2 linked regions of the Stegostoma tigrinum genome follow. The protein of the gene in region 1 purifies or fractionates together with the protein of each later gene. This does not show direct contact. Links are inferred from orthologs where the notes say so. Each region holds a gene or a part of one and is shown in the gene's direction. Other genes may lie near its edges.

Evidence for each region.
Region 2: the proteins of rad18 (region 1) and slf1 purify together in Homo sapiens (affinity purification with mass spectrometry; 4 studies listed by BioGRID and IntAct, with this or other methods). This does not show direct contact. The link is inferred for Stegostoma tigrinum from reciprocal best matches to the Homo sapiens genes RAD18 and SLF1.

Annotation. Positions count from the first base shown.
Region 1 is NC_081364.1:59,455,162-59,470,640, forward strand, and holds the start of rad18 (E3 ubiquitin-protein ligase RAD18), read left to right. Parts: upstream 1-8,858; 5' UTR 8,859-8,902; coding exon 8,903-8,920; intron 8,921-9,338; coding exon 9,339-9,420; intron 9,421-15,479. UniProt on the Homo sapiens protein: E3 ubiquitin-protein ligase involved in postreplication repair of UV-damaged DNA. Postreplication repair functions in gap-filling of a daughter strand on replication of damaged DNA.
Region 2 is NC_081356.1:89,486,795-89,502,042, reverse strand, and holds the start of slf1 (SMC5-SMC6 complex localization factor protein 1), read left to right. Parts: upstream 1-9,094; 5' UTR 9,095-9,446; intron 9,447-13,355; coding exon 13,356-13,469; intron 13,470-15,248. UniProt on the Homo sapiens protein: Plays a role in the DNA damage response (DDR) pathway by regulating postreplication repair of UV-damaged DNA and genomic stability maintenance.

The DNA of each region.
Region 1 (15,479 bases):
TCTTTTATTCTCACGCAGAACCATAATGTTTCATTGCAATTCCTTTTATTTGTTTACAGGCAATGTACGTAAAGCTATATATATATTGCCTCAACCCAATTGTTTTTGTAGCCTTCTGCGTTGTTCCCAACCAGATGCTAATCTAGGTATTTGTCAACATTACTTAGAAATCACAGTGCAGAAACTTTACTGGTCTACTCTAATTATTTATGTTGGAACTTACTCTCCACTAAAGCTGGAATGTCAGTCTCCTGGACTGGACCTGTTCCCATATAACAAAGTGTGGAGCTGGATGAACACAGCAGGCCAAGCAGCACCTCAGGAGCACAAAAGCTGACGTTTCAGGCCTAGACCCTTCATCTGAGAGGGGGATGGAGAGAGGGAACTGGAATAAATAGGGAGAGAAGGGAAGGCGGACCGAAGATGGAGAGAAAACAAGATAGGTAGAGAGGAGAGTATAGGTGTGGAGGTAGGGAGGGGATAGGTCAGTCCAGGGAAGACAGACAGGTCAAGGAGGCGGGTTGAGGTCGTAGGTAGGAAATGGAGGTGCAGCTTGAGATGGGAGGAAGGGATGGGTGAGAGGAAGAACAGGTTAGGGAAGCAGAGACAGGCTGGGCTGGTTTTGGGATATAGTGGAGGGAGGGGACGAGCTGGGCTGGTTGTGTGATGCAGTGGGGGGAGGAGGGAACGAACTGGGTTGGTTTTGGGATGCAGTGGGGGAAGGGGAGATTTTGAAGCTTGTGAAGTCCACATTGGGCTGCAGGGTTCTCGAGCGGAATATGAGTTGCTGTTCCTGCAACCTTCGGGTGGCATCATTGCGGCAATGCAGGAGGCCCATGATGGACATGTCGTCTGAGGAATGGGAGGGGGAGTTGAAATGGTTTGCGACTGGGAGGTGCAGTTGTTTATTGCGAACCGAGCGGAGGTGTTCTGCAAAGCGGTCCCCAAGCCTCCGCTTGGTTTCCCCAATATAGAGGAAGCCACACTGGGTGCAATGGATACAATATACCACATTGGCAGATGTGCAGGTGAACATCTGCTTGATATGGAAGGTCATCCTGGGGCCTGGGATGGGGGTTAGGATGGAGGTGTGGGGGCAAGTGTAGCACTTCCTGCGGTTGCAGGGGAAGGTGCCGGGTCTGGTGGGGTTGGAGGGGAATGTGGAGCGAACAAGGGAGTCACGGAGAGTGGTCTCTCCGGAAGGCAGACAAGGGTGGGGATGGAAAAATGGCTTGGGTGGTGGGGTCGGATTATAGATGGCGGAAGTGTCGGAGGAGGATATGTTGTATCTGGAGGTTGGTGGGGTGGTATGTGAGGACGAGGGGAATCCTCTGGGGGCGGTTGTGGCGGGGGCGGGGTATGATGGATGTGTTGCGGGAAATGCGGGAGACGCGGTCATGGGCGTTCTCGACCACTGCGGTGGGAAAGTTGCGGTCCTGGAAGAACATCGACATCTGGGATGTGCGGGAGTGGAATGCCTCATCGTGGGAGCAGATGCGGCGGAGGCGGAGGGATTGGGAATAGGGGATGGAATTTTTGCAGGAGGGTGGGTGGGAGGAGGTGTATTTTAGATAGCTGTGGGAGTCAGTGGGCTTGAAATGGATATCAGTTTCTAGCTGGTTACCTGAGATGGAGACTGAGAGGTCCAGGAAGGTGAGGGATGTGTTGGAGATGGCCCAGGTGAACTTGAGGTTGGGGTGGAAGGTGTTAGTAAAGTGGATGAACTGTTTGAGCTCCTCTGGGGAGCAAGAGGCGGCGCCGATACAGTCATCAATGTAATGGAGGAAGAGGTGGGGTTTGGGGCCTGTGTAGGTGCGGAAGAGGGACTGTTCCACGTAACCTACAAGGAGGCAGGCATAGCTGGGCCCCATGCGGGTACCCATGGCCACCCACTTTGTCTGTAGGAAGTGGGAGGAATCGAAAGAGAAGTTGTTGAGGGTGAGGACGAGTTCGGCGAGGCGGATGAGGGTGTCGGTGGAGGGGGATTGGTCGGGCCTGCGGGACAGGAAGAAGCGGAGGGCCTTGAGGCCATCTGCATGAGGAATACAGGTGTATTGTGTTGGAGTGGCCGGAAGTGCTACACTTGCCCCCACACCTCCTCCCTCACCCCCAACCCAGGCCCCAGGATGACCTTCCATATCATGCAGATGTTCACCTGCACATCTGCGAATGTGGTATATTGTATCCATTGCACCAGTGTGGCTTCCTCTACATTGGGGAAACCAAGCGGAGGCTTGGGGACCGCTTTGCAGAACACCTCTGCTTGGTTCGCAACAAACAACTGCACCTCCCAGTCGCGAACCATTTCAACTCCCCCTCCCATTTCTCAGACGACATGTCCGTCATGGACCTCCTGCAGTGCCACGATGATGTCACCCGAAGGTTGCAGGAACAGCAACTCATATTCCACTTGGGAACCCTGCAGCCCAATGGTATCAATGTGGACTTCACAAGCTTCAAAATCTCCCCTTCCCCTACTGCATCCCAAAACCAGCCCAGTTTTTCCCCTCTCCCCACTGCATCACACAACCAGCCCAGCTCGTCCCCTCCCCCCACTGCATCCCAAAACCAGCCCAGCCTGTCTCTGCTTCCCTAACCTGTTCTTACTCTCACCCATCCCTTCCTCCCACCTCAAGCTGCACCTCCATTTCCTACCTACCACCTCATCCCGCCTCCTTGACCTGTCTGTCTTCCCTGGACTGACCTATCCCCTCCCTACCTCCCCACCTACACTCTCCTCTCTACCTATTTTGTTTTCTCTCCATCTTCGGTCCACCTCCCCCTCTCGCCCTATTTATTCCAGTTCCCTCTCCCCATCCCCCTCTCTGATGAAGGGTCTAGGCCCGAAACGTCAGCTTTTGTGCTCCTGAGATGCTGCTTGGCCTGCTGTGTTCATCCAGCTCCACACTTTGTTATCTTGGAATCTCCAGCATCTGCAGTTCCCATTATCCCTGTTCCCATATATTTTGCTTTCCTTCAACCAACTATCTCATCTATGCTTAAAAGTTGATCTGATCTCTGCTTGAATCAATAACTCTGGCAGTTTATTCCGCAGTCTATCTCTGCGCTACAATTTACATTCCTCTTGTTTTCCATTCTCGATCACTTCTATTTAACCTTACATCTTCAAAACCTTCTAGACTATTTAATCACTGCAGAGTATTTTGAATTATTCTGTTATATCCTTCACAGGATCAAATATCAGTATCAAATCAAGTCTTAATCTCCACAGTTGAATTGAAAACAGCCCCAGTTCTTTTCTTGTGCCAGGCAGCATTCTAGATACTTCAGAAATTAAAACCAAAATGGTTTGCTGCTGCTGGTTTTGATCTATGAAGTTCAGGTACAGATTGGTTCTGATCAGGATTTCCGAGTCAGAGTTATTCCATTCATACAAAACCTAAGGATGTTGAAGATGTGGGAATTCAGTGATAGCAATGCTGTAGAATGTCAAGAGGAGATGGTTGTGTTCTCCATTTGAGATATGGTCATTGCCTGCCACTTGCATGACACAGATGCTACTTGCCACTTAGCAACCCAAGTGTGAATGCTGCTCCGTTTGCTCCAGGGCAGGACTGACTGCTCCAATATCAGAGGAATGGAACTGAATATTATACAATCATCAGCAAACAGCTCCACCACCTCTGACCTTATGGTGGAGTGAAGGTTTTTGACAAAGCAGCTGAAGATGCTGGAGCCTAGGACATCACCTGAGGAACTCCTGCAGCTGTAATGGGTTTGGGAGCCAAATGGACTTTTTTGTTTGTGGATAGGACATCCCTGTGTAACTTGCTGATCGTTTGGCAGATACCCACATTATAGCTGTACTGAAACAGACTAATTTATGACCACAATACTTCTGGAGAATAGATGTTCATTATTGTTGCTGGGACACTGTCATAGCCCATTGTTTTTTATGGATACGTAGAACTCTACAGTGTGGAAGTAAGCCATTTGGCCCATTGAATCCACACCAACCCTCTGAAGAGCATCATTCCCAGACCTGACACCCTACCCTGTCCTTGAAACCCTCTCTTTGCCCTGCTAATCCACCTAGCCTACGTATCGCTGGACACTTTAGCCAGGAAAATCCACTTAACCTGCACATCTTCAGATTGTGGGTGGGAAACCGGTGTCCCCGGAGGAAACCCACGCAGACATGGAGAGAATGTGCAAACTCCACACAGATAGTCAACCAGGGCTGGAATCGAACCTAGGTCCGTGGCACTGTACTAACCATTGAGCCACTGTGCAGTTCCTTATATCCAGTGTACTCAAGTGTTTGCTGCTATAATGTGGAGTAAAGTAAATTAGCTGAAGACTGGCTTTTGTACTGATTGGGACTTCAGAAGCGGGCCTGAACTGATTATTTGGCACTTATAACTGAAGATCTTTTGCACTCACCTGTTGGGATCTTCTCTCAATGGGGATGGAAATGAAGTTGTAGACATGCTCGCCGAGCCAGTAGGTTTGGATGCAAATGTTTTGTCAGCCTGCTAGGTAACATTGTCAGTGCGCCTCCCATGAAGCATCGGTGTTCTGCCCCACCTGTTATTTCTATGTCTCAGTTTGCTGGGGTGGTTGGTATTACTTTCAGTTTTGTTTCTCGGTGGTTTGTACACAGGGACTAATTCAGTGTGTTTGTTAATGGAGTTCCGGTTGGAATTCCAGGTCTCTGGGAATTCCCTGGTGTGTCTCTGGCTTGTGCAACTATCAATGTGTTGTCCCATTTGAATTCGTATCCCTCGTTGTCCGTGTATGGCGTGACACTTGAGGGTTGGTCGTATCTCTTGGTGGCTAGTTGGTATTAATGTATCTATACAGTAAATTTTTTTCGGATTTGGCCCATGTGGTGTTTCTCACAGTCCTTGCATGGTACTTTGTATATTACCCCAGCTTGCTAGTTTTGGGTATGGAATCCTTCACGTTTGTCAGTGGCTGTTGTTGGGTGGTTGTCAGTTTATGGGCAGTTCTGATACCTGGGGGTCTGAGTAGTCTTGTGGGCTGCTCTGAAATGTCCCAGATGTATGAGAGGGTGATAAATGATTCTGGTCATGTTGTGTCTACCTGTTGTCACCTGTTTTGGAGGTAATGGTAATGTGCTTTTTGGGTATTTTTTTTAAGAGTTCATATATGTGTTCCTGTTCTGCTTCATGTAGCTCCTTCATGTAGGGTTGCTGCAATGTATTGTGGCTCACTTAAATAGTGTCCTGATGCAGCTCCGTTTGTGAATGTTGGGGTTGTTGCTAGTGTAAATGAGTATTTGGCCTGTATGTGTGGTCTTTCTATATACACTAATCTGGAGTTCCCCCTTGTTTTTGTGTTCTGCCATTATATGCAGGAAGGGTGGTTGATTGTTGCTCTCTTCTTCTTTCATGGATTTTGTCACAGGGAGGGTGTTGATTAAGTGTTCGTGGGTTTCTTCCAGTTTAGTATGCTTGATAATAATAACACCTACATTTGGGACCTAAAGTTTGGGTTATATAATGGTGAGCGCTGTCCATTCTAACCTTTGCATTACTGCTCCTGCAATCAGTCCTGACATTGGGGATCCCATTGGTGTTCCGTTGATTTGTTTGTATATGTTGTCATTGAAGGTAAAGTGGGTTGTGAGGCACAGATCCAGTAGTTTCATGGTGGTGTCCTCATTGATGTTGTTGGTGTCCTGGGTTGCCTGCTTACTTGATTCATCCAGCAGTGTGGCAATTGTTTCTTTGGCTAGGTCGATGTTTATGGATGTAAATAGTGCTGTTATGTTGGACAATATCATCATCTCATACTCATCTATCCTGGTGACCTTCGAGATGTTGAAGAATTCTTGGGATGAGTAAATGAGAGGGTATTGTTGTCCACTAAGTATTTCAAGTCTATATGTTGGTGTACCTGGCAGTGACGGGTCTGAGGGGGACCCCCGGCTTGTGTACCTTGGTTGAATCTGTAGTATCGGGGTGTGTTGGATCCCTCTGGCTTCATTTTTTTGGTTGTGTGTCTTGCTGATGTCTCCTGAGTTGGATAAGTTCTTCAGGTTTGGTGTAATCTGGTTTCCTAATTGTGGTAACCAGGTGTTGAGCTGGATGAACACAGCAGGCCAAGCAGCAACAGAGGAACAGGAAGGTTGACGTTTCAGGCCTAGACCCTTCTTCAGAAATGGCCCAAAACGTCAGCCTTTCTGCTCCTCTGATGCTGTTTGGCCTGCTGTGTTCATCCAGCTCTACATCTTGTTATCTCAGACTGTCCAGCATCTGCAGTTCCTCCTACCTCCTAATTGTGGTGGCAGTTCTGTCGCCATCTGTTGATAGGTGTTGGTATCTGCTAGTAATGCATTAACTTTCTCGATGTATTGAGTTGTATTAAAGATTACTGTCATGCATCCTTTGTCTGCTGGTAAGATTACAATGTTCCTGCCTTTCTTGAGCCTTTCCAGGGCTTTCCTCTCTTGTGTGTTCCATTTTCCTTTTTGTTCAGGGTTGGGACTCTTGTCTGTCTGACAGTCTGTTGTATTTTTTCTGTGAGTCCGTTGTTCTTTAGTGTTGATTCCAGCCCAGCCAGGAAGCCAGTCTTTTTTGGCATCTCTGTAGTTATGTTTCAGTCCACGTACTAGGACGGTCTTCTCAGTATCTGTAAATAGTTGGTCTGAGATGTTCTTAACCCATGAATCTGTTGTCTGTGTATTGATGTAGGTGATTTTGGACAGTTTTTCTTGAAGGGCTATTCTTCGCTTTATTCTGATCTTTTGTTGTTGTGTGCTGATGGGATGGAAATGTTGATTGGCCATTCTCCTTCAATTCATTTTTTGAATTTAGGACTGTGCATAGTAGCAGATGGCAATAATTCCAAAATCAAGCATGGTGACCAATGAATGGGAGTGAGGCTTCACACAGTACCCAATTCAGGAGAATGAAGGTTGTACAGCTGCTCATGTAGTGAAGGTTGTTTGATGCCCAGTACTGGGGAAATGAAAACTGTAAGGTGCCCTATACAAGAAATTAAGATTGCATGGTACTCAGTGCAGGGAATTGAAGATTGCATAGTGCACAAACAGTCAGTGAAGTTTGCAGGGTGCCAAACTGGGGAGTTGAGCTTGCACAGTGAGGATTGTGGGTAGTGAATGTTCCATACTGCCCAATGCAGGGGGACAAAGGCTGCATGTTGCCCAGTGCAGGTGTGTGAATATTGTACAGAGCCCAATGCAAGGAGTCACAGTTGCATGGTGATCAATGCAAGGAAATAAAATTTGGAAGGTGGACAGAACAGGGAAGTGAAAGTTGCATAGCACTGGTAGTCAAGCTTGCATAGTGGTGATTATGTGCAGTGCAGTGTCGTGAAGGTACCCACTTGGGAAGCAAAGGATACAAGATGTAAAAGTGGACAGCCAAAGTTACACAATGATCCCAGACATGAAGGTTATACGCTGCCAAGTGCAGGAAGTGAAGATTGCACAGAGCCCAATGCAAAGGGATGAAAGTTGCACATTGACTAAGTAAGGGAGTGGAGCTTGCACAGTACCCAATCTAAAAAAAACCTGAAGATTGCCCCGTGCAAGATGTGAAGATTGAATGACGCCAACGTGGGCAAATAAGGTTGCACTATGGCAATCGTGAGCAGTGAAGTTTACATGCTGCGCAGTGCAGTGAAAGGTTGCATAGTGTCCGGTGTGGGGAGAAAAGCTTTCAGCGTTTAGGAGCGAAAGTTGCAGATTGTACGGTGCATTGTTTAAGCGATGCAAGTTTGAAGAGTACACTGTTTGGGGAACAAAATGTTAGGCTGGATGAACACAGCAGGCCCAGCAGCATCTCAGAGCACAAAAGCTGACGTTTTGGGCCTAGACCCTTCATCAGAGAGGTTTAGGCCCAAAACGTCAGCTTTTGTGCTCCTGAGATGCTGCTGGGCCTGCTGTGTTCATCCAGCCTCACATTTTGTTGTCTTGGATTCTCCAGCATCTGCAGTTCCCATTAACACTCTTTGGGGAATGCAGTTTTGCATGGTGCCAGGTTTCAGAGTTGCAATTAGAAGGATGCAGTTTGGGGGATCGGGGTTTAGTTCGCATGATGTGGGGGGGAGGTTTCGGGGTGGGGGCAGTTTTCATGGTTTGATGGGGGTGTAGTTTACATGATGCAGGGGAGATTTCAGGGGAGTTTGCATGGTTTGATGGGGGAGCTGTAGTTTGCATGATGCAGGGGTTATTGGGGGAGTTTGCATGGTTTGATGGCTGGTGTAGTTTGCATGATGCAGAGGGCTTCAGGGGAGTTTGCATGGTTTGATGGGGGCTGCAGTTTGCATGGTGCAGTGGGCTTTGGGGGAAGTTTGCATGGTTTGAAGGGGGTGTAGTTTGCATGATGCAGGAGGTTTCGAGGGAGTTCGCATGGTTTGATTTGGGGGCTATAGCTTGCATGATGCAGGAGTTATTGGGGAGTTTGCATGATTCAGGGGTGTTTGCATGGTTTAATGGGAGAGTTTTGGGGTGGGGGCAGTTTGCTTGGTTTGATGGGGAGTGTAGTTTGCATCATGCAGGGGGGTTTCAGGGGAGTTTGCATGGTTTGATTGACGCTGTCTAGTTTTCATGATGCAGGGGAGTTTTGGGGGAGGTCCAATTTACATGATGCAGGGGGTGGTTTCAGGGTGTTTGCATGGTTTGATAGCGGAGTGCAGTTTGCATGATGCGGGGTTTATTGGGAGAGTTTGCATGGTTTGATGGGGGAAGCTGCTGCAGTTTGTCGGGGGTACGGATTGGAGGGTGCAGCGCGCCGTCTGTCGGGAAGCTGGGGAGGGCGGCGTAGGGTGCAGGCTATTCTGGGAATCGGGATCCCCCGTGGCAACTAACCGGAAAGCGCTCGCGCTCAGCTGCTGATGACGTGCTTCCGGCTGTAGCCAGCGCGCGCGTTTTGCTCTGAATTCGAGAAAAATGTGGGAGAGACTGAAGGTGAGAGAGAGGGAGAGATTGAAACTGAGGGAGGGAACGACAGAGGAAGGGGTGCCCCGTGCTGAATGCCAGTGCGGGAAAGACTTAGGATGAGAAAGAGAGTATGGGGGGGGGAAGGTGTTTGTGGATGAGGATGGTTAACTGACCTATTTTCTGATGTAACAACAACTGAAGTTCAGACAAGATTTATACTGATTAATTGTGAGGTGCTGAGTGGATTGCGCGCGCTTTCCATTTTGATCCCATAGGATCTGTGTTCTGCTCTTAGTCAGTACAGTAAAATGATTAGCGGAAATCTTGATTACCCATCTCCACAGGCCTACACTTGATTTGGATTGGCAATGTATAGTCTGGGTTAAGGTGACAACTCTGTTTAGGATGGCAAGTTTGGACTTGACGAATCGTCTTTCTCTTCCAGGCCATGGATAACCTCTTACGCTGTGGTATCTGTTTTGAATACTTCAATATTGCCATGATGATCCCTCACTGTTCGCATAATTGTAAGTATTCTGCATGCCACCATCCTAATACTGCTGGCTGAGATGTTTTCACCAGTGCAGCACATTTCTGTAGAGTTGTGAAAGAAGTTTTAAACTGCTCCCTGTGTAACATGTAACGAGCATTGATTTAGGCAGGTATGTTTCAGATGATTGTTGGTGTGCACTGTGGCTGCAGATGGCCTACGATGACTGTATGTGTGTGGGACAAGACAGACTTGTGTGATATAATGCAACAGTAGACGTGGCAGGCAGCACCAATAAGATCTGAGCAGAAACAGTTGGCTGAATTTGGCTATGTCAGAGTTGCGTTGAGTTTTGCCTTTTGGAGGGTTACTCGTCATGGAACCTTGTGAGATTTCTCACTGTCTTACAAAGCTGCCTTGTCAACCACCTACCCTGCTCCTTTGCCATTTTCCAATTTCCACCCCAAACTTGCCGCCCGCTGTTTCCACAGCAACTTGCTACTCGGTGGACTTCCACTGACACTCCAGCATTGCTGGTGCCTGCACCGTCTCTAAAGGACCAGACAAGTATTTGACTGTCTCTGGCAGTGCAATGGCACAGCAGCTACACTGCTCTTGGCACAAGGCTGGCATGGCTGACCCTCCCTTGTACATCGACAATCTGTCATCTCTGGCGCTGCTTAACTACCATGCTACACACTTTTCCTGCCCGTAGCTACCTCCTGCCTGAATGCCATGACTAACGTCAGTGTTGCCCTACTCTGGTGCCCACAGTAGAACTGAATCTTGGCATTGCCCAGTTGTGAAACGTCACAAACAGGCGAGCAACTGGATGAATACAAAGTCAAACCCTGAGCTTTAATAGAGTCATTATTTACAAAAAGCAAAAGGGGACAAAACTGAAGGCTGAGCTCCTACGATGCCAACCAGTTTTCAACAATATGACCAAAATAGTTTGAAATTGGCCATTGTCTAATTCACCCAACTTTCGTCTACTGGAACTAGGTGTCAGGCAGGTTCTGTCTGGCTCGTTACACCAAACGCAGCTGAGCTCCATCATGGAGAGCATCAGTTTCCTACTCCCCCATGTTGTCCTCTTCAGAAGGTTTCACCTATTCCCCCAGTTCCTCAGCATCCAGCTTATGGCCTTGTTCTGGTCTTGTTGCCCACTGCAGTTGTGCAGAGCGCAGGATGATGGGACAGACTCTGTTTGGACTAGACTGGAGAGTTATTCCCTGACTGGTCCAAGCAGCAGAACCACCTTTTCAGTAGCTCCACCTTTTGATCCACGGTGGGGAAATGCAGGCAGCATTGTATCGGAGCTTGGCCGTCATTGGTGCAATTCCCTGCAGATGATGGCTGCATACACTGCACCCAATAATGAGCGACATATCTCCACCATCTATCCACTTTCAGGTTTAATCTGGGCAGCAACTTGATGAGTGGTTACCCCATGTCATTGACAAGGAAATATCTGCAGCTGCTCCGACACCTAGCCAACTCTGCACCCCCATTAAACACTCAACTAAACACAGCATTCAGACCACAGCATTGTCACACAAACATGACAGACGACGCAATGTGTGCCTCGCACCCAGGACCTGTGGAGGTAGCGTGAGCAGTTGTTCCCTTCAGCCAGTATGGACATTTCATGATAACACTGCAGCTACTTCCATATCATTCAGATGCCCAAGTTCAGCCAGTGATCACCAATGGGATGTTACAATTTACCTTTGACCAACATCTGACCCCTAAGCATCCTCAGTCTGAACGCACTGCAGTTGGACAACAATGGTTGCTAATCCATTAAAGCAACATTCTGTAGCGACAACAACATGAAGCAGGTGCCCACAAGGATAGGGGGGTCCAGCAAATGATGCTCTCCGCCGACCCTAGAATTTTCTTGTATTGAGATAAGGGAAAGTGAAGGCAGAGAAGGAAGATTGCGCTGGACACCATCAGCACGGGGCTTCCCTAAGTCACTAGGTTACATCCCCGAAGAAGTGTTTGGCAAACACAAAAAAACTTCATAATATGAGGGAAAGGTAGTATGGAGGCTGAGAGATGTTAAAAACTCAGAAAACTACCATTTTACTATCATGGAGTTAGTTAGTGAAGCGAGTTTGAAACGCTTGATGGTTTGATGGTATGGTGAGTCAGTGCTCCTGCTCTGCGAGATATAATGAACAGTTCACTTTTAGTCACAGCAGGGTACAACATTTCTTTTGAGGGCACCTCTTGATCGTTACTGTTTGTTTTTCTGGGGTTACTTCTTGATTTTCAGAAGTTGCATTTTCATTCTCATTAAATTATTTGGACTTAGAATTAGAACAATTCAGCAATATTCTCAATAGTCGTCAACCCTGTGAAACTTAAACCCATAATGCAGAAGGAAAACATTAAATAACACTGAAATTAAATATGCCCAAGACAACAGACGTAAGTTAGCAATGGAAATAATTGATGCCCACTTCAGCCACACAACCATAACCTAAAGCAGACCTATTGTAGATTAGAGAGGTTAGAGCAAATTTGTTTCTACTATTTATGTACAAAGCTGGACATTTTGACCTGGCAGACACTTTTCGCTGCATCTTGGATCACCATCTCATTTAAATTTAACATTGGACCATGTTCACCTTATTGGCATACACATTTCCCACTGTCAGTTAGGTTCTGAACATATGCAGCCTTGAACTAGAGATACCACATTCATTTATAAGTCATTCGTTGCTTCAGTGATTTTAAGCCTTTGAGTTATGAGTATTCCCTTCCCATTACTGTGGTCTCCCTCTCTCAACTGATTTTCGGCCTCTCCCCACCTCCCTGCGGTCTCCCTAACAACTTCCTTGTCGACAGCATTTACGTAGCCTCCTTGCTGTTACTCCGTTACAGGTTGTTTTTCTTGTGTTTGCTATTAATTGGTTCACTGTTGGTCATATTTCTATTTACAAGGTTTGATTGGCCCTATAAGTGAATTTTCGTTAGGAGTGGTGGAGGGGGTGGATCTGCCTGTTTTAACCACCCCTCTGGAACTTTGGGCACTATCGCAGCCCTTCTGGGTATTGCTTTATAATCATACTGTGCAGTGGTTTAGAAATGAAGTGGTTTTCATGCTGCTTCTCCTCCTTGCCCCATGCTTGACTTTCTTGTCCCTTTTCGGAGCTAGACCATAAAACCATTAGAATCCCTACAGCGTGTAAGCGAGTCAACACTGACCCTCTGAAGAACATCTCACCCAGACATACCCCTTTCTCAACCCTATTCCTGTAACCCTGCATTTCCTATGACTAACCCACCTAGCCTGCACATCCTGGGACGCTATGGGTAGTTTAACCTGGTCAATCCACCTAACCTGTGCATCTCTGAACTGTGGGAGGAACTTGGAGCATGCAGAGGGAACCCATGCAGACTGTAGCCCAGTCCATGATAGCCTGTACTGGACTTGCCTTACTGTGTAAGCACAGTTAATCAGAATTTTGCATAGTTAATTCTGCAATGATTTTTTAGCTTCTCACAAAATATACAACTACAAATCTCAACAAATCCGTTAAAACTCCCACCAAAAATACATTTTATGTCTGAACTGTAACTACAATTTTGAAGTAAGAATGAAAAAAATTTGAACATTTTCCACCACTTCAAATGAAACCTCTCATGAGAACTGTGATTCCTCACTTTATCAAGCTCCTGTCTGCTTCTGAGCCTGAGGTGGAACATCCTGATGATTTATGGTGCAGACAGTATGTCGTTAATCTGTGAATTCTGCTTGTCAAATCACCGGCTCCACCTTTAAAAAGTTTGCTTGTGAGACTACTCAATAGAAGTTCAGCCAGGCAACCAAATTATTGTGAAATCTGTCTGAGTTGAGCAGCCTGTTATTCAAAACGAACTTATCCCCCTGACAGAATGTAGAGTGTTTTTCTCTGGTGTATTGCCTTTTGTTTGTGGAATAAAACTATAACTTTTGGCAGCCTATGAGCTTTATTTCGTTTGTCTTATGGGAATCAAGTGTGCAATTAGAATTAATTGAAGCCAAACTATGTTCTGTATCGCTCTGTACCTTTGGTGTTGGGGAAGAGTGAGCTGACTTTTAACTTCCTTCAGTCAAATGTTACTCAGGCAGACCATTGTTAGTCTTGGATGAGCCCAGAACCTACGTGCTTCTGGCCTCAGATCTGTCATGCTCCCTGCTTCTTTACCTCAGGCTAAACCTGATGCACTGGCAGGTTTCACTCCAGTTAAACTCCCTCACATGTGATGTGTTGCCAGGATTGTTCTCCCCTGAAGCGCTGCCTGTCCTTTTTGCTGCACTATTGCAGCCAAAACTCCAATTTGTGCCTTTTTCATCTCAACTTCTCCAGTCTTGTCAAAGCCTCCTGCTTCCATGCTCCATTTACTCTGATTGAAATAAGAATTCTGAAACCTGGATCCTCTCCCGGATTTTCAACATATTGAGTCCTTCCAAATTCCCTGCATTTTAACATTTCTATCCTGCAATCCCATGGCTCTATTTTGCCCAGCCTCTGCATGATTGTCCTGTCATGTACCTCCTGACATGGGTTTGCTGCTTCCCCAACCCTGGTTTGCTCTTCTTATTCACTATAGGGATATGGGCATCCCTGGCAAGCCCAAATGGTGGTGGCCGTGACCTACCTTTTTGAACTATTTCTGAGGCTCTTTTGTTTGGTAGGGATTTTGATGCAACTGAATGGCTTGCTAGTCCATTTTGGAGCAAAGCTGGGAGTCAACCCCATTTGTGTAGTTCTGAAGTGACACATACTTGCAGACCTAGTGTGCACAGTGCACTGCCTTTAAGGAACATTAGTGCGAGTCACTCGGGTTTGACAACAGTCAGATTGTGACGTGGTCACTGAACGTTGTCAACAGACACTCACCGACTCCCCAACAAATAATCATCGTATCTGCTCTGGTTGGGAACAAATTGGTGAGGGTCTGATCTTATTGTGGTGGGGGGGAGTCGGTGAGTGTCTGGTTGTGATGGGCAGACTGGCTGCGTTCTGGGCTGGAAGATTCTTGGATGCCATGAATATGGCGAGGAATTGGTAATTCCATTGTTAGGAATAAAGCAGTAGAAAGCCATGACATTGGAGCACAAGAGTCGTGCTGCTGGCTGGAGATAAATACCGAGCAAGAAAATGTGGAGTTACCGTCAGGACAGACTTACACTTGATATATTTCTGAAATAATGTGCCAGACTGTTGCTTTTCTGTGCGTTGTATCAGATGACTTGGTCTGGTATTTCGTGATATAACATACTCCTTCTCACAGTTTCTTGACTGAGCAAGTGACAGTGAGCTTACTCCTTGGTCAATCCACTGTAGCAGTGTAACTTGGAGATTGGGAATGATCTGGGAATGCCAGAAAAAGATTTATTGAACTAATTTCTTATTGTTCCATCTTGCAGTCCCATTTTTCTTGGCAAACTGAGTAATCTCTAGTCCTCCAGATCAGGTTAAGCCACATTTCAGTTATGCTTTGGACTATGATATTTCCTCAATCCTTAGCAATTGTTGCCCAAGCAATATTTTGACCTGCTGTTTTTCTTTCCTCGTTTTTTGTTTTGCCTTTATTCTCCCAGATTCCTCAGGGTCATCTCTAATATTGGCACTTGTATTTTATCAGTTCAAAATGATCATTTGTAAAATGGACCTGGACAGTGGAAAACAGTACTGATGTGTCCTGGAGTGGAGTCACTGTCATGGAGCTTCATCCAACTTCATGGCGCACACACAATGCAAAGAAATGCCCATCAAGCAGGAGTCTCATGGAGACTGCTTCTAGATGTGGGGGGACTGGTGAGTTTGCCAAGGAAAATGGGACCACAGGATGAGATGAAACAAAAGGAAATCAGTTCAGTAAATCTCTGTGGCATTCCAAGATCATTCCCAGGCTCCAAGTTACACTGCAGCAGTGCACTGACTGAGGGGAAAGTTCACTTGCTCAGTCGAGAAATTGTGATGCAAAGAGTAGGTTATATCACAAAATACCTACCCAGTCATCTGATACAATGCACAGAAAGGCAACAGTCTGGTGCATTTATAGGAAGAGAAATGAATCACATGTAAGTCTGGC
Region 2 (15,248 bases), on another chromosome or scaffold:
AAGCCATTGAAACACGTTATGCCTCTCATTTACGAAGAGCAGGAGGGCCACAGTTTATTGACAACTGCATTGTGCATTTTGTCAATTTAAGGCTATCATATCTATGTACCAACAAGAATCCCGAAAAGAATAATGGAATCCATGTTTTAACACAACATGTAGTTCTGACTGTGAATACTTCTTACTGAATCTTATTGTTCCTTCCTAAAAACTTGGCAGGAGCTTTCATATTTTAAACACAAGTCTGAACCAATCCATGATTGCTCTGATCCTCGGTTTGCTATTATTTTGTCATAACTTTCCATTAATACAATTCATACAATTTAGCTTCCAGTTTTTTTTAAAATCTAAACTTACGTTCAAAAGCACAAAAATGTTCGCCTGCTCTATACCCTCATAAGCTGCTGAGCATGACCATCTGTCAGCAAAAAGGTTTTCATTTACCATGAAAGTATGCATCATAGACATGCCAATAACTGCATTTATTGACTGTGATTTAATTGTTTTGAAGTCCTAGTCAATCAAAATGCAGTTGTATTTTTTAAAACAAGTGACATCCCAAATGGAATACTGAGCCAAGTAAATGACTTATTTTAGTATATGAGAAATGAGTAGATATATTTTTAAAAAGTACAATTAGAGAGTCATTGACCTAAAAACAAATGTGCTGATTCAATTTAACTTCCAAAATAATATTTTGAGGACACTGCTAACTTTGCAATTTAGGGTCAAAATCAAATCATTTCTGCCCTTAAACAAATCTGATCATCCCACAGCATGAAATGTAGCTAAAAACATTCTGTAAATGGCTTAATTATTTTCACAAATCATTCACACACAATTTTGAAACCCATTCTTGAATGAGTATCTGAGGTTTGTAGTAAATGTCCCACTTCTGTTTCTGAATGAAAAAGGAAGTCAGTGCAGCAGAACTGCATTGACTCAACGAAATAGAATGTTATCAAATGAAAAAAAACTAATAAATTCATCACATTGATTTTGTTACATCACAGTATAGTCCCCCTCTGACCAAGCCTGTCATGTCTATACAAGTTCTTTACAAAACGTCACCTGTTTCCTTGCCCTTTCCTATTTCCCTAGCATTTTTCCTTTTAAGATGTGTTATGTCTCACAGCATACCTTTAAGAGATAAAGTGATATATCATGACATCATCACTGCATCATTGCATGTAATATCTCCATCTTAACTTGCGCCACTTGAAGGATGAAACTAATATAAAGGTGCAGTTGCTTTTAACCAAATAGCTTAGTATAACCAAAACAATAAAGTGCCTATTACTGTAATATTTGTGTATACCAGCAGCTGTAATAAACATCCATTAAATCATTCACTATTACATATCGCACCTAGTTTTAAGTTACAGGAAATTAAAAAGGATTGCATCATCAGGTACAAATATCCCACTGAATGCAAAAGCCTTCAACACAATGGCAGATGAACATGTTTATCCGATTCCCTTTTGAAAGCACAATTGAATCTACTTCTATCACACTTTAAAGCAGTGGAAGATACCATTCTCTCACTGCATACAGAAGTTTTTTTTCCCCAAATTCACTGTTCGTTCAACTGTCAATATTAACAAGAAGGTGGGGTTGGGTGTCTTGAAATAAGTCCCCAGAGCCTGATGGGATCTATCTCAGGAGGCAAGGGAGGAGACTCAAGGGGATTTGACAGAAATTTGTGCATCCTGAGTTTGGCAGCAAAAGATTTTGCCCCCATGATGGTGGAACAAAAAAAAATGCACATACAGCCAGAATTGGATGTGAGTGGAAATTCTGGATGTTTTAAGTTTAAAGGCAATTGAAGGAAGGAAGGAGGATGAAGGCCACAGAGAGATTCGAACACAAAGAGAACTTGAGAAACCAGGTCCATCAGTATCTGTGGAGAGAAATAATTCTGAAGAAGTCATGTTAGTCTTGAAACATTAACTCTATTCCTCTTCAAAGATGCTGCCTGACCTGCCGAGTTTCTCCAGTGTTGTGTTTGTTTCAGGTTTTCAGCATCCTACATAGTTTGCTTTTTATTAAAATAAAACAGGTGTTGGTTAAATGAAATTGAATGTAAATCCAACAACATAGGACTTGCTGCTGAGTTAGGATTTGGGGAACAGAGTTTTCGATGACCTCATGTTTACCAAAGGTAGAAAGGGGAACGTTGGATACAGTATTTTTTAATTCCAATGTCTTGATAAGGAATTCAGTGACAAATTTATTTTGGACAGCAAAATTCAACTGTCATGCACACAGTTCTGCTTCAGTTATTTCAACTATGTTCAAAGCTGAAGGAAACCTAGGTAACTTTATAAAAACATATATAACACAGACTTTTGTGGATGTGAGTTTGTTCGCTGAGCTGGAAGGTTAGCTTTCAGACGTTTCGTCACCATTCTAGGTAACATCATCAGTGAGCCTCCGATGAAGTGCTGGTGTTATGTCCCGCTTTCTATTTATCTGTTTAGGTTTCCTTGGGTTGGTGATGTCATTTCCTATTCTTTTTCTCAGAGCATGGTAGATTGATTTGGAGCCAATGTGTTTGTTGATGGAGGTCCGGTTGGAATGGCACGCTTCTAGGAATTCTCGTGCGTGTCTCTGTTTGGCTTGTCCTAGGATGGATGTATTGTCCCAATCAAAGTGGTGTCCTTCCTCATCTGTATGTAAGGATACTAGTGATAGTGGGTCATGTCATTTTGTGGCTAGTTGATGTTCATGTATCCTGGTGGCTAGCTTTCTGCCTGTTTGTCCAATGTAGTGTTTGTCACAGTTCTTGCAAGGTATTTTGTAGATGATGTTCGTTTTGCTTGTGGTCTGTACAGGGTCTTTTAAGTTCATTAGCTGCTGTTTTAGTGTGTTGGTGGGTTTGTGGGCTACCCTGACGCCAAGATGTCCGAGTAGTCTGGCAGTCATTTCGGAACTGGGACAACACATTCATCCTAGGACAAGCCAAACAGAGACACGCACGAGAATTCCTAGAAGGATGGCATTCCAACCGGAACTCCATCAACAAACACATTGGCTCCTTATCAATTGACCATCCTCTGTGAAAAAGAACAGGAAATGACATCACCAACACAGGAAATGACATCACCAAACACAAGGAAACCTAAACAGATAAATAGAAAGCGGGAAATAACACCAATGCTTCACTGGAGGCTCACTGATGATGTTACCTAGAATGGTGACAGATTGTCTGGGAATAAACCTTCCAGCTCAGTGAACCAGCTTACATCTGGAACAAAATAAAGACCCACTCTCTTGTGGACCGAGAGGAGGGGAGTGCTGTGTTGGAGGTGAAAGGAGGACGTCGGGTTGGCTGTGCACCCTTGCGACCAGTGGATCTTAATGCTGGCTTCGGACTAACGCTGGTTCAGGGGAGCAGCCAACCTGCAACGATGGCTGCGGCAAGTGCTCGTGCCCCAGGTCAGGGGGTCCAGAACACCATCCGCGTTTCCGTGAAGAAGGTGGATGAAGGTGCACCTGTGGACCGCACCTTCTTCGTGAAGAAGGTCCTATTGGACTGTGGTGGGTTCGCTGCTGCGGACATTTACTGCCTGCAGGATTTCCCCGGAGGAGGTTTCTACGATGTAACCTTCAGGAGCGCCAAGCTTTGCGAGTGCTTCCTGGAGGTTTTCAAGGAAAAAGGAGGTGAGGGCCCCTTCTCTGTACTGACCGCTGTCCTGCTGTTCGTGATGCTGGTGCAGAGGAGCCGTATGGTCACTGTACACATGTACAACCCGCATGTGCCAGCAGCTGATGTCCTGACCTTCCTTGGAAGGTACGTGAAGGTGGAAGGGGACCGAACCAACATAATGGACCCCTTCGGGATCTGGACAAGTAAGAGACAGGTCAGGGTGACGCTGAGGACGGGTGCAGATGGGAACATCATACACCCACTGTCCAGCTTCGCGATTGGCGGGAGCAAGGGCTACCTGACCTACGCAGGGCAACCCAAAGTCTGCTATGCCTGTGGTAGGTCAGGTCACGTGGTGGCTGACTGCAAAGTCACCATCTGCAGGGAGGAGGGACACCTTGCAAAGGATTGCCCAAAGGAAAAAAGCTGCAACCTTTGTGGGAAAGCGGGCCACATCCATAGGGCATGCCCGCAGCAGGGGACTACCTACGCCCAGGAGAGGAAGGCACCAGGCCACTGCAAGGACCACCCCTTCGTGTGCAGGAGGGCTAGGTTGTGTAGGAGGGACCAGCCCCGCAGGGTGGACCCGAGGCCAGCAAAGCGCCCTGCAGGCTCCGCTCCCCTCCCCGCTCCCCCCCGACAACCCGGAGTCAATGGAGGAGGTGACAGGTGACCCAGGGAAGTGGACGACGGTCCGGAAGGTGAGGAGGAAGGCGCGCTGTGGCCCCAGCTCCGCAAACATCAGGCGGGAAGAGGCAGCTACAGGGGGGCTATAAGAGCTCCCCTGATGAGGGGGATTCGGAGGAGGCCCGCCCAAAGCAGAAGCTGAAGACTTCCACTGAGAAGGAAAGCAGCAGCCCGCTTCCAGGGGACGGGAGGTGTCCTGAGGTTCCCTCCGACACCCAGCCACGCACTGCTGGGGCCCTGGAGGGCCCCCTGGAACCTGCAGGTGGGATGCAGGAAACGTGCCCCCAACCTGACCCAGAGCCGGACTCTCCTGACTCCATACTGCTGAGGGGGGGATGCCACCCGGAAGGCAGCACAGACGGTTTCCTTGGCCCGGAGGCCGTCCAGCAGTTCGCCCAGGCAATGGGCATGAAGGGACAGATGGAGGGGCTGGACCTTGGACTCGAGGTCACTGCCCACAATGGGGGTACAAGTTGCGAGCGTTAATGTGCGCAGCGTCAAGTCCACCACAAGACGTGTGTCCACGTTGGCCTACCTGACCACCGTCAAGGCAGACCTCCTGTTTCTGCAGGAGTGTGGGATACCGCACCTCGGCAGGTATGGGATATGGTCGGGTGCCTGGACCTGTGGGCCTTCGACCTGGTCGGGGGGTGATGACTGTCGCTCCTTGGGCCTGGCTATTCTGCTGCGGGGGCGCAACTTCACCATCTCTCAAGTTCAGGAGGTGGTGGGGGGGGGGGCACCTCCTAGTGGTTGATGTCACCTACAGGTACACTCCCCTGAGGCTGATCAACATGTACGCCCAAGCGGTACGGAGTGAGCGGGTGGCCGTCCTGCAGCGCCTTCCATCCCTGCTGGCTACGTCCAGGCCGGTCATCCTAGGCGGAGACTTCAACTGCATCATCGATGCAGATGGATGATCCAGCGTGGGGACAGCGGGTGGGGGAGTTAACAGGACGTCACATCCAGATTCCTGATGGGCACGGTGAAGGACACCAAGCACGGACAACACGGCCTCCAAGTCGTTCCTGTCGTCTATCACAGAGGTCTTAGACGATAGCACGAGGGAGTGGCTGGACCAGCCGATATCCCTGGACAAGCTGACCAGAGCCCTCAAATCCTTTGAGAGGAATAAGACTCCCGGGAGCGACGGCTTACCGGTCGAGCTGTATTCCGCTCTGTGGGACCTGGTCGGTCAGGACCTGCTGGAGGTGTATGATAGTGCGCTTTGGGCAGGGGAAATGTGCAAGTCCATGAGGAAGGGCATCATCACCCTCATTTACAAGAGGAAGGGGGAGACGGAAGAAATTAAGAATTGGCGTCCGATTTCACTATTGAACGTGGACTACAAAATCCTGGCCAAGGTCATAGCCAACCGGGTCAGGTCTGTCCTGGAGTCGGTGATTCATCTTGACCAAACCTGTGCTGTGCCAGGCAGGAAGATCGCTGAGAGCCTCGCGCTCATCAGGGATACGATCGCCTACGTGCAGGACAGGCGGGTGGACACCTGCCTCATCAGCCTGGACCAGGAGAAGGCCTTCAACAGAGTCTCTCATGCTTACATGAGGGACGTCCTCTCCAAATTGGGGTTCGGGGAAGGCATCCGCAATTGGATCCGGCTGCTCTACACCAACATCGTTAGCGCAGTCTCGATCAACAGGTGGGAATCGGACAGTTTTCCCGTCAGATCTGGAGTCAGGCAGGGCTGCCCGCTCTCTCCTGCCTTGTTCGGGTGCTGTGTGGAGCCCTTAGCTGCATCCATCAGGAAGGACGTGAGCCTGAAGGGCGTGACTATCCCAGGCAGCGGAGGCCTTCAGGTCAAGACCTCCCTTTACATGAACGATGTCACCGTTTTCTGCACCGATCGTCGGTCGGTGAGTAGGCTGTTGGACATCTGCAGCCAGTTTGAACTGGCCTCGGGTGCCAAAGTCAATAGGGGTAAGAGCGAGGCCATGTTCTTCGGGAACTGGGACGACTGCTCCTTCATCCCCTTCACCGTCAGGGCAGACTACCTGAAGGTGCTGGGTGTTTGGTTTGGTGGAGCTGGAGCGTGCACTAAGACTTGGGAGGAGCTTATCACCAAACTGAAGCAGAAGCTGGGCAGGTGGACGCTCCGGTCCCTCTCCATCGCGGGTAAGAACCTGGTTGTCAGGTGCAAGGGGCTTTCGGTACTGTTGTATGTGGCGCAGGCCTGGCCTATTCCCTGGACCTGCGCTGCTGCGGTCACCCGGTCCATCTTCCACTTCATTTGGGGGTCGAGGATGGACCGGGTCCGCAGGGACGCCATGTACAAAGACCTGGGAAATGGGGGAAAGGGCGAACCGAACGCCACCCTCGCCCTGACGGCTACCTTTGTGTGCAGCTGCATCAAGCTGTGCGTAGATCCTCAGTATGCAAACACCAAGTATCACTACTTACTGAGGTTCTACCTGTTCCCGGTGTTGCAAAGGATGGGCCTGACCTCGTTGCCACGGAACGCTCCGAGTAGTTGGACCATCCTGTACCACCTGTCCTTCGTGGAGAAATTTTTGTAAGGAAACATCTTTGACTACAAGGCCGTCAGGCAGTGGTAAGCACGTAGTATCCTCGAGACCCCTCGGGAAAAGGAGAGGCTGGATCCCGTCGTGTGGTTCCCCACGCAGACTGCCAAAGTCGTTTGGCAGAATGCCTCATCACCAGAACTTTCTAACAAGCACAAGGACATTGCTTGGCTGGCGGTGAGAGGGGCTCTGCCAGTAAGATCCTTTATGCACGCCCGGAATCTCTGCGTCACCGCACTGTGCCCTTGAGGCGGCTGCAGGGGGGACGAGACTGTCGATCACCTCCTTCTGGAGTGTGCCTATGCACAGGAGGTCTGGAGGGGGATGCAGTGGTATTGGTCGAGGTTCGTCCCGAGCAGCTCCGTGACACGGGACTCCGTGCTCTGCGGGCTGATTCCCAGGATGCATGCCGAGCCCAACATCAACTGCGCCTGGAGGACCATCAATGCAGTGAAAGATGCTCTTTGGACTGCCCGCAACTTGGTGGTCTGCCAGCTGAAAGAACTGACCCGACCGAGTGTTGCAGACTGGCGCAGTCCAAGGTCCAGGACTATGTGCTGAGGGACGCGCTAAAGCTTGGGGCAGCCGCTGCCGAGGCGCGGTGGGGAAAGACCACCGTATGAAACTCCTCGTCCAGAATAGAAAAAAGGGCCCTATCTGGTAACTGGGCCCAGTTGGCACCTTCCCCAACTGGTCAGGGGGCCAACGGGGACTGTGCGGGGAGACGACTGCCGGGGTATTTTCTTTGCTTTGTTTTTTTTCTTCTTTGTTTTGTTTTTTCCTTTAGTTGGTCTACATACCCCCTGGGTATCCCAGAGCGGCTTGCATGACTGGGTAGGTGTATAAATGTTTTATTTTTTCTACATTCTATGAATAAAGTATATTTTTTCAAATTTTAAAAAAAGTGACAATGTCTGAAAACTAACCTTCCAGCTTAGCGAGCAAACACATCCAGAAACTCAACCTGAGCTACAAATCTTCTCAAAATTCACAGACTTTTGTCATACTTGTGCACAATTCTGGTCACCCTGTTATAGAAAGGATGTTGTGAAACTTGAAAGGGTTCAGAAAAGATCTCCAAGGATGTTGCCATGGTCGGAGGGTTTAAATTATAGGGAGAAGCTGAATAGGCTGGGACTATATTCCCTGGAACATTGAAAGCTGAGAGGTGGCTTTATAGACGTTCACAAAATTACGAGGGGCATGGATAAAGTAAATAGAAAAGGTCTTTTTCGGGTGGGGGGTCAAAAACTAAGGGGCATAGGTTTAAGGTGAAAGAGGAAATATTTAAAAGGGATCTCAGGGGCAACTTTTTCAAGCAGAGCGTGTTGCGTGTATGAAATTAGGTGCCAAAAGAAGTGATGGAAGCTGATACAAATACAACGTTTAAAAGGCATCCCGACGGGTATATGAATAGGAGGGTTTAGAGGAACACGGGCCAAATGCTGGCAAATTGGACTAGATGTATCAATGATATCTGGTCGGCATGGAGTTGGACTGAAGCCTCGGTTTCCATTGCTGTATGTCTCTCTGACTTGACAACTGCGAACGTCGAGCAACGACCTTGTATCATTACTTTAGGTAATAACAAAACAAACCAAATACCAAAATGAATGGTCACCTCGGCAGCTGAAAAATAATCTAGCTTTGCTTGTAAATAATAAGACTATATTCACTATCTGTCCATGTAGAGGTTTGAATTGGAACGTGAAGATTACCGCAGCAATAGGCCAAACATCGCTGCAACTCAAATAAAAGCAAAATACTGTGGATGCTGGAAATCTGAAACAAACGTAGAGAATGAAGAACAGTCACACTGGACTCGAAACATTAACTCCGTTTATCGCTCCACAAACGCTGCTAGACTTGCTGAGTTTCTAACATCATTCTGTGTTTGTGCCGCAAGTCACGCTCAGTGAAGTGAAACGACACCAATCCCTCAGTGCCTCGTTAATGTTGTGCAATAAACTGGCACAAAGGGAAGAAGTGAAAATAACGTAGCAGAAATACTTTAAATTTATAATCTTCATTTACAAAAGATGCTGAGGCCTTACCCTAGATTCCCGTCACTCCAGTTCACCGATCTGTTTACCAACGTGTCACTCGGAGACGTACAAGGCTACGTCACTGCGAGACGCCAGATTACACGTGACCAGGCTGTACTACCCCTTGTCCCGGGGTGGGGGGGTGTTGGAGATCTTAACAGTCAGTACTAATGACAAAGCTCATGGAACGCACAATTGCCTCAAATCAGTAACACCGTCTAGATTTAGCTGCAGCTTAAGAGTGTATTCTGTTTTATTTTCTAATTGCTGTGTAGGTATCTTGGTTTTCAATGTTTAGAGTAGTCGAGACGGTGGGAATTGTCGGCGGTTTGGCTCTGGACAGCCAGTTTTAATCTGCGCGCGAGTTGAGGCAACGTGACTTTTTGAGCGCGTTCTACAGTGTCGGCAGTTCATTCACTCACTCTTAATGATCCCCGCCAATCGTGTGCTTTACGTGAGTTTGGGAAGTTTAGGGAACTTCGGTGTAAACGTGAGGACGGGTCGTACGTGTTTATAAACGTAGAGGTAATGTTGCACAGAGTTTTGTAGATTTCTGTTTGCAAATATTCAGTTAACATTGAATTTGGTTTCTTTTAAATTGTGTACAGTTTAAGACCGGGGAGTATGCTTCCTTTCTTACTCTTCTAAATTCCTTGGTCACGGGTTCCATCAATTTTCTTAACAAGTGTGGAAACTTTAACGAGATTGTTTGTAAGCCTGGTGCAATACTTGACTCTGTGATGAGCTTCTGAACACACCCTTTCCCTAATTAACTCTGACTTTTCCTACTTTGAGCCTATCGCTCGACTGCCGCTGGCACTGTTGGCCTGAAGCGGTCATCTGTACTTTTCTCATCACTTGACCCGATTAGAAGTTCGGGAAAGCACGAAGTGACCAACGATCCCTCCAGCTTTTTCGCCTCTCACCATGATCAGCCCTGATCACCTACTTCATTCTTCCCGCCTGCCATCCTTGAAATCCCCAGCAGAGCAAAATTGGATGCCAGCCTTAAGTGAGCTCTGATTTTTTTTTTTAAAAATCCATAACGCTTGGAAGTACGATGTTTCAAAACTTTCCAGTTCTCTCAGTAAAGTTAGGATAAAGTGGTGTCGCACTTTGGTAAGACAACCCAGGACAGAACTTGCACAGTCATTAGTAGGGCCACGGGGGAATGTTGTTGAACAGAGACTTTGGGGCGCAAGTACACAGTTCATTTGAAGTGAGATAACAAAGTGTGCAGCTGGATGAACACAGCAGGCCAAGCAGCATCTTCGGAGCACAAAAGTCTTAGGCAGACAGAATGCTGACGGAAGTGTTTGGTATGCTTGCCTTCGTCGTCAGGGCGTTAACTGCAGCAGTTGAGACATCGTGTTACATTGGTACGGGCACATTTGGAGTACTACTTACGATTCTAGTTGCCTTGCGATAGGAAGGGTGTGATTAAACAGGAAAGGGCACAAAACCGATTTACAGGGATGTTTCCAAAAGTGGAGGGTTTGAGTTGAGGAGAGACTGATAGGCTGGGACATCTTTCCTTGGAGCAAAGGAGGCTGAGAGAGAGCATTATAAAATCATGAGGAGCGTAAACTAGACGAATAGCCAAAGTCGTCTCCCCAAGGTAGAGGAGTCCAAAACTATAATGCATAGTTCTAAGGTGAGAGGGAAAAGATTTAAAAGGGACCTGAAGAGCAATGAGCTGTCAGAAGAAGTGGTTGAAGCGAGTACAATTACAACATTTAAAAGAAATTCAGACAAGTACATGGATAACAAAGGTTTTGAGGCAAATGGGGCTAGTTACGTTTGGGGAAACTTGGTGCAAGTGGATGAGTTGGGCTGAAGGATCTATTTGAACTGTATTAGTCTTCTGTAAGACATTTCTGAAATCTTCACCTCAGTCCTCAATGATTGAGTTCCCTTCTGATGCAATGCCTCTTTCTATATTCTTCTGCCAGGAGCAATAATTATTGATGTCTGTCCTGTTCACTTTGGAATCTTGAATGTTTTTCAGTAAGATTACTTCATATTCTGTACATACTAGAAGTGCAGCCCAAACTTCATAGAATCTCTATATAGTGTGGGAGCAGACCATTCAGCCCATCACACCCAAGTGAACCTTTTGAAGAGCGTCTACCTTGACCCACCCCCTGCCCTATCCCTGCATTTTCCACCCGAGACACTGTGGGCAATTTAGCATAGCCAACCCATCTAATATGCACATCTTTGGATTGGGAGAAGAAACCAGAACACCTGAAAGAAAACCACACCAACACGGAGAATGTCGGTATGGAGTTTGCACAGTTACCCGAGGATAGAATTGAATCCGGGTCCCTGGCACTGTAAGGTACCAGTGCTGACCACTGAGCCACTACCCAATTTAGTCAGCTTTTCATCATAGAATGATTCACTTCGTCCATTCGTTAAACAAAGGTGAAGGTAAAAACTCTATAGCTTTGTTGGGGCATGGAATTGCTGTCTCATTGAGAGAGATGACTAGTGATTGTTTAAAGTTAGAAGTCACAAGACACCAGGTTATACTCCAAGTTTATTTGGAGTCTCTCAAGCTTTCAGAGTGCAGCCCCTTCGTCAGGTGCAGTGAGAGAGTAGGGCACACAAACAGAGATGAAGGGCAACAAAATCCAAAGATCTCTCACTGGTGTGAGTGGAGTGGCAGATGATATGCCTCTGGTGACCATGAGTTTTATACAGTGTGTAAAATGTTTATAAAGTCAGTGTCAGAACTGTGCTGTCATGACAATCAGACAGATCCATAGGAATGTACAAAAGCTGACATATCAGGTCAGACACTGAATTGTGGGTCTGAGACTTTGTTCAGAATCTGATTTTTAACCTGGAATCAGGTTGGTTTTATTCTGAAAGCTGGAATTTATAAGATGCCACACTGACTGTGAATGCAATTTTTTGAGCAAAATAGAATGTACGTGCAGATAAGCAAAGATCTTGAATGAAATTATTCTACCCCATAGATTTGTTTGTGCATGTACGCATGTGTGTAGAGAGAGTGTGTCTGTGTGCCTTGCTGTCTCACTGCATGTGGTGAAGGGACCGCACTCTGAGAGCTTGTGTGAATCCCAGTAAACCTGAAGGACTATAACCTGGTGTTGTGTGACTTCTGACTCTGAAGTTTGGAAAGTTAGTCAGACACTGATGCAAACTTTAATTATCCCGGGACAGTGACTTAAAACAAATTCTGGAATTTGCATCTTAATCAATCAAAATTTACGTTTCCTTTCTAACAGAGTTTTCCGTACCCTACTTCTGAAATTTCTAGAATGCAGGAATCTATGAATAATTAAAGATTCAACAGGAGGCAGTCAGTCAGCCATTTTAGGCCTCCCTCCCTCCCTCAAGATGCGCCTGTGTGCTCTCCTGACGAAGGGGCTGCACTCTGAAAGCTTGGATGATTCCAAATAAACCTGTTGGACTGTAACCTGGTGTTGTGACTTCTGACTTTGCCCACACTAGTCCAAACCTCCACAACATGGTGAGCTTTAACCTGAGGATCACCAACCTCTGGTTAGGGGAGATGTTGAGAAGGAGACCCCTTCGTGATGAGCGCAGCCACACTGGCAACTGCATCACAAACTGGCTATCCAACCAACTCAGGTAACTGTCCCTTGACTGAACAAATAACCTTTAATATCATCCTGGCTCCAATATAAGCATTTTCTTCCTTAAACATTTCTAGACACAAAGCAGTTGAATCACCAAGGCAATTATATCGAGATTTTATTCCAGTCTTCTTGCAGTAAGAACCAGTGTGCAATTTGAATTTTCATATATGTTCATGGGTTGTGGGCATTGCTTGTTGGGTCAACATTTACTGCCCAGCCCTAATTGCCCAGAGGGCTGTTAAGAATCAACCGCATTACTGGAGTCACATACAGGCCAGATCAATAAGGATGGCGGCATTAGTGAGCTCGATGGGTTTACCTGACAATTGGTCATGGTTTCATGATCATCATTAGAATCTTAATTCCAGATTTTTATTGAATTCACATTCCACCTCTGCCATGGCAGGATTTGAACTCAACTCCCCAGAATAATGCCTGTGTCTCAGGATTAGTTGTCTAGCATTAATACCATTAGTCCATCGCCATCCACTTGGTACTTCTGGCCTGCGACTGATTAAAATGCTTCCCGCCATATACCCCTAACACTTTTGAAGATGGGGATATTTGTGGAACCTCTACCTGTCCATCGTTTTACTTATCCACCACTATGCACAGCTGAATGTGGCGGGACTGTAGACCTTAAATCTGATCCCTAGCTCAGAAATTGCTCCCAAAAGTTTCTAATCTGTATGAACCCGGAGTGGTCAGGTTATCTGTACGTTTGAATTTTTTTTAATGTTCTTCCACTTCCAGACACATTTGACATTTGCTTGTCTCCAGTAATTATATTTTTGTTGCACAGATGGCTGGACTAGCACAGAATCCTATAATACAGTTAACCGGTTTCAAACATTCTGAGAAAAGGGCCCTTGTCAAATTACTTACTGAACTCGACTGCATTTACTTTGGTGAGCAGGTAAGTCCTAAGTGATTAGAGAATTGGAAATGTGAGTTTTTAGCTAATTTAGTTTTGTTTTCATCAATAAATATTTTTGTTCTTTCTCTCGTCCTCTAAGTTTCAATTATCTCAAAATAGTTTTATACACGCTATCCATGTTGAACCTTCAATATATGAAAGTCAAGATAATGCAAATCACTTCGTCCTATTGTTCCAAAAATCTTCAGATCTAATGAATTTCTTTTCTAGATTTTAAACAATTTGTACACAATGGAGTTCCACAAAAAAATTAAATTAGTTATTAATTTTTTTTAATGCTCATCGAGGAAACTTGAGAGCAGCAATTGGAAAATATCCTCTTTGAATGGCGCACAGAACCTTTCTACATTGAACCAAGACCCTGCTATTGATTACTTCAATGACTCATACGATGCCTGGACTAAAGCTAAATTATGTGGGAAGATTACAATTTTTCCTTAGCATTGCATGATGTGTTAACCTGGATTAAGTGCTACCATTCTACAACTGGGAGTGAACTCTGGATGTGAGTTTGCTCGCTGAGCTGGAAGGTTAGTTTTCAGATGTTTCGTCACCATTCTAGGTAAACACCATCAGTGAGCCTCCGAATAAATGCTGGTGTTATGTCCTGCTTTCTGTTTAGATAGGTGGTGACGTCATTTCCTGCACATCCATCCTAAGACAAGCCAAACAGAGACACGCACGAGAATTCCTAAAAGCATGGCATTCCAACCAGAACTCCATCAACAAACACATTGGCTCCAAATGTGTTTGTTGATGGAGTTCTGGTTGGAATGCCATGCTTTTAGGAATTCTCGTGCGTGTCTCTGTTTGGCTTGTCCCAGGATGGATGTACAGGAAATGACGTCACCACCTATCTAAATAGAAAGCAGGACATAACACCAGCGTTTATTCGGAGGCTCACTGGTGTTTACCTAGAATGGTGACGAAACATCTGAAAACTAACCTTCCAGCTCAGCGAGCAAACTCACATCCCAAAACTCAACCTGAGCTACAAATCTTCTCAACTCGCTGGGAGTGAACTCTCAAACTTCTAGTGATTGAGTGATAGTATAGCCATTTAAGCAGAGCAAGTACTTAGAAGTTAGGAGAGTCAATTATAGACACAACTGGAGAGATATGTTTTCAGATGTGATTTTGAAAGAGTTATGAATAGTGGAACCAGGTTCTTTTTCTTCTTTGGACCGTTTTATAACCTATCTAATCAACCTGTTCAAAATGTTAGGAACTTGGGCCTTTTCATCCAAAGGTAGGGATAGAATCATTGCACCACAAGAGCCGCCTTTCTTTTTCTTAGGATGTAGGCGCTGCTACCAAGGTCAATATTTAGACCATGGGCTAAGAAGTAAGCCATTCTGCCCGTCGAGTCAACTGCCATTCAATGAGATCATGGCTGAGCTAATAGTCCTCACTGAGAAGTGGCAAATGGAGTTTAATGCAGACAAGTATGAGGTGATGATGCACTTTGGTAGGAGTAATGGGAAGGCAAAGTACTGGGCTAATGGTAAGATTCTTAGTAGTGCAGATGAGCAGAGATATCTCGGTGTCCATGTACACAGATCCTTGAAAGTTGCCACCCAGGTTGACAGGGCTGTTAAGAAGGCGTACAGTGTTTTAGCTTTTATTAATAGAGGGATCGAGTTCCGGAACCAAGAGGTTACGGTGAAGCAGTACAAAACTCTGGTGTGGCTGCACTTGGAATATTGTGTACAGTTCTGGTCACCGCATTATAAGAAAGATGTGGAAGCTTTGGAAAGG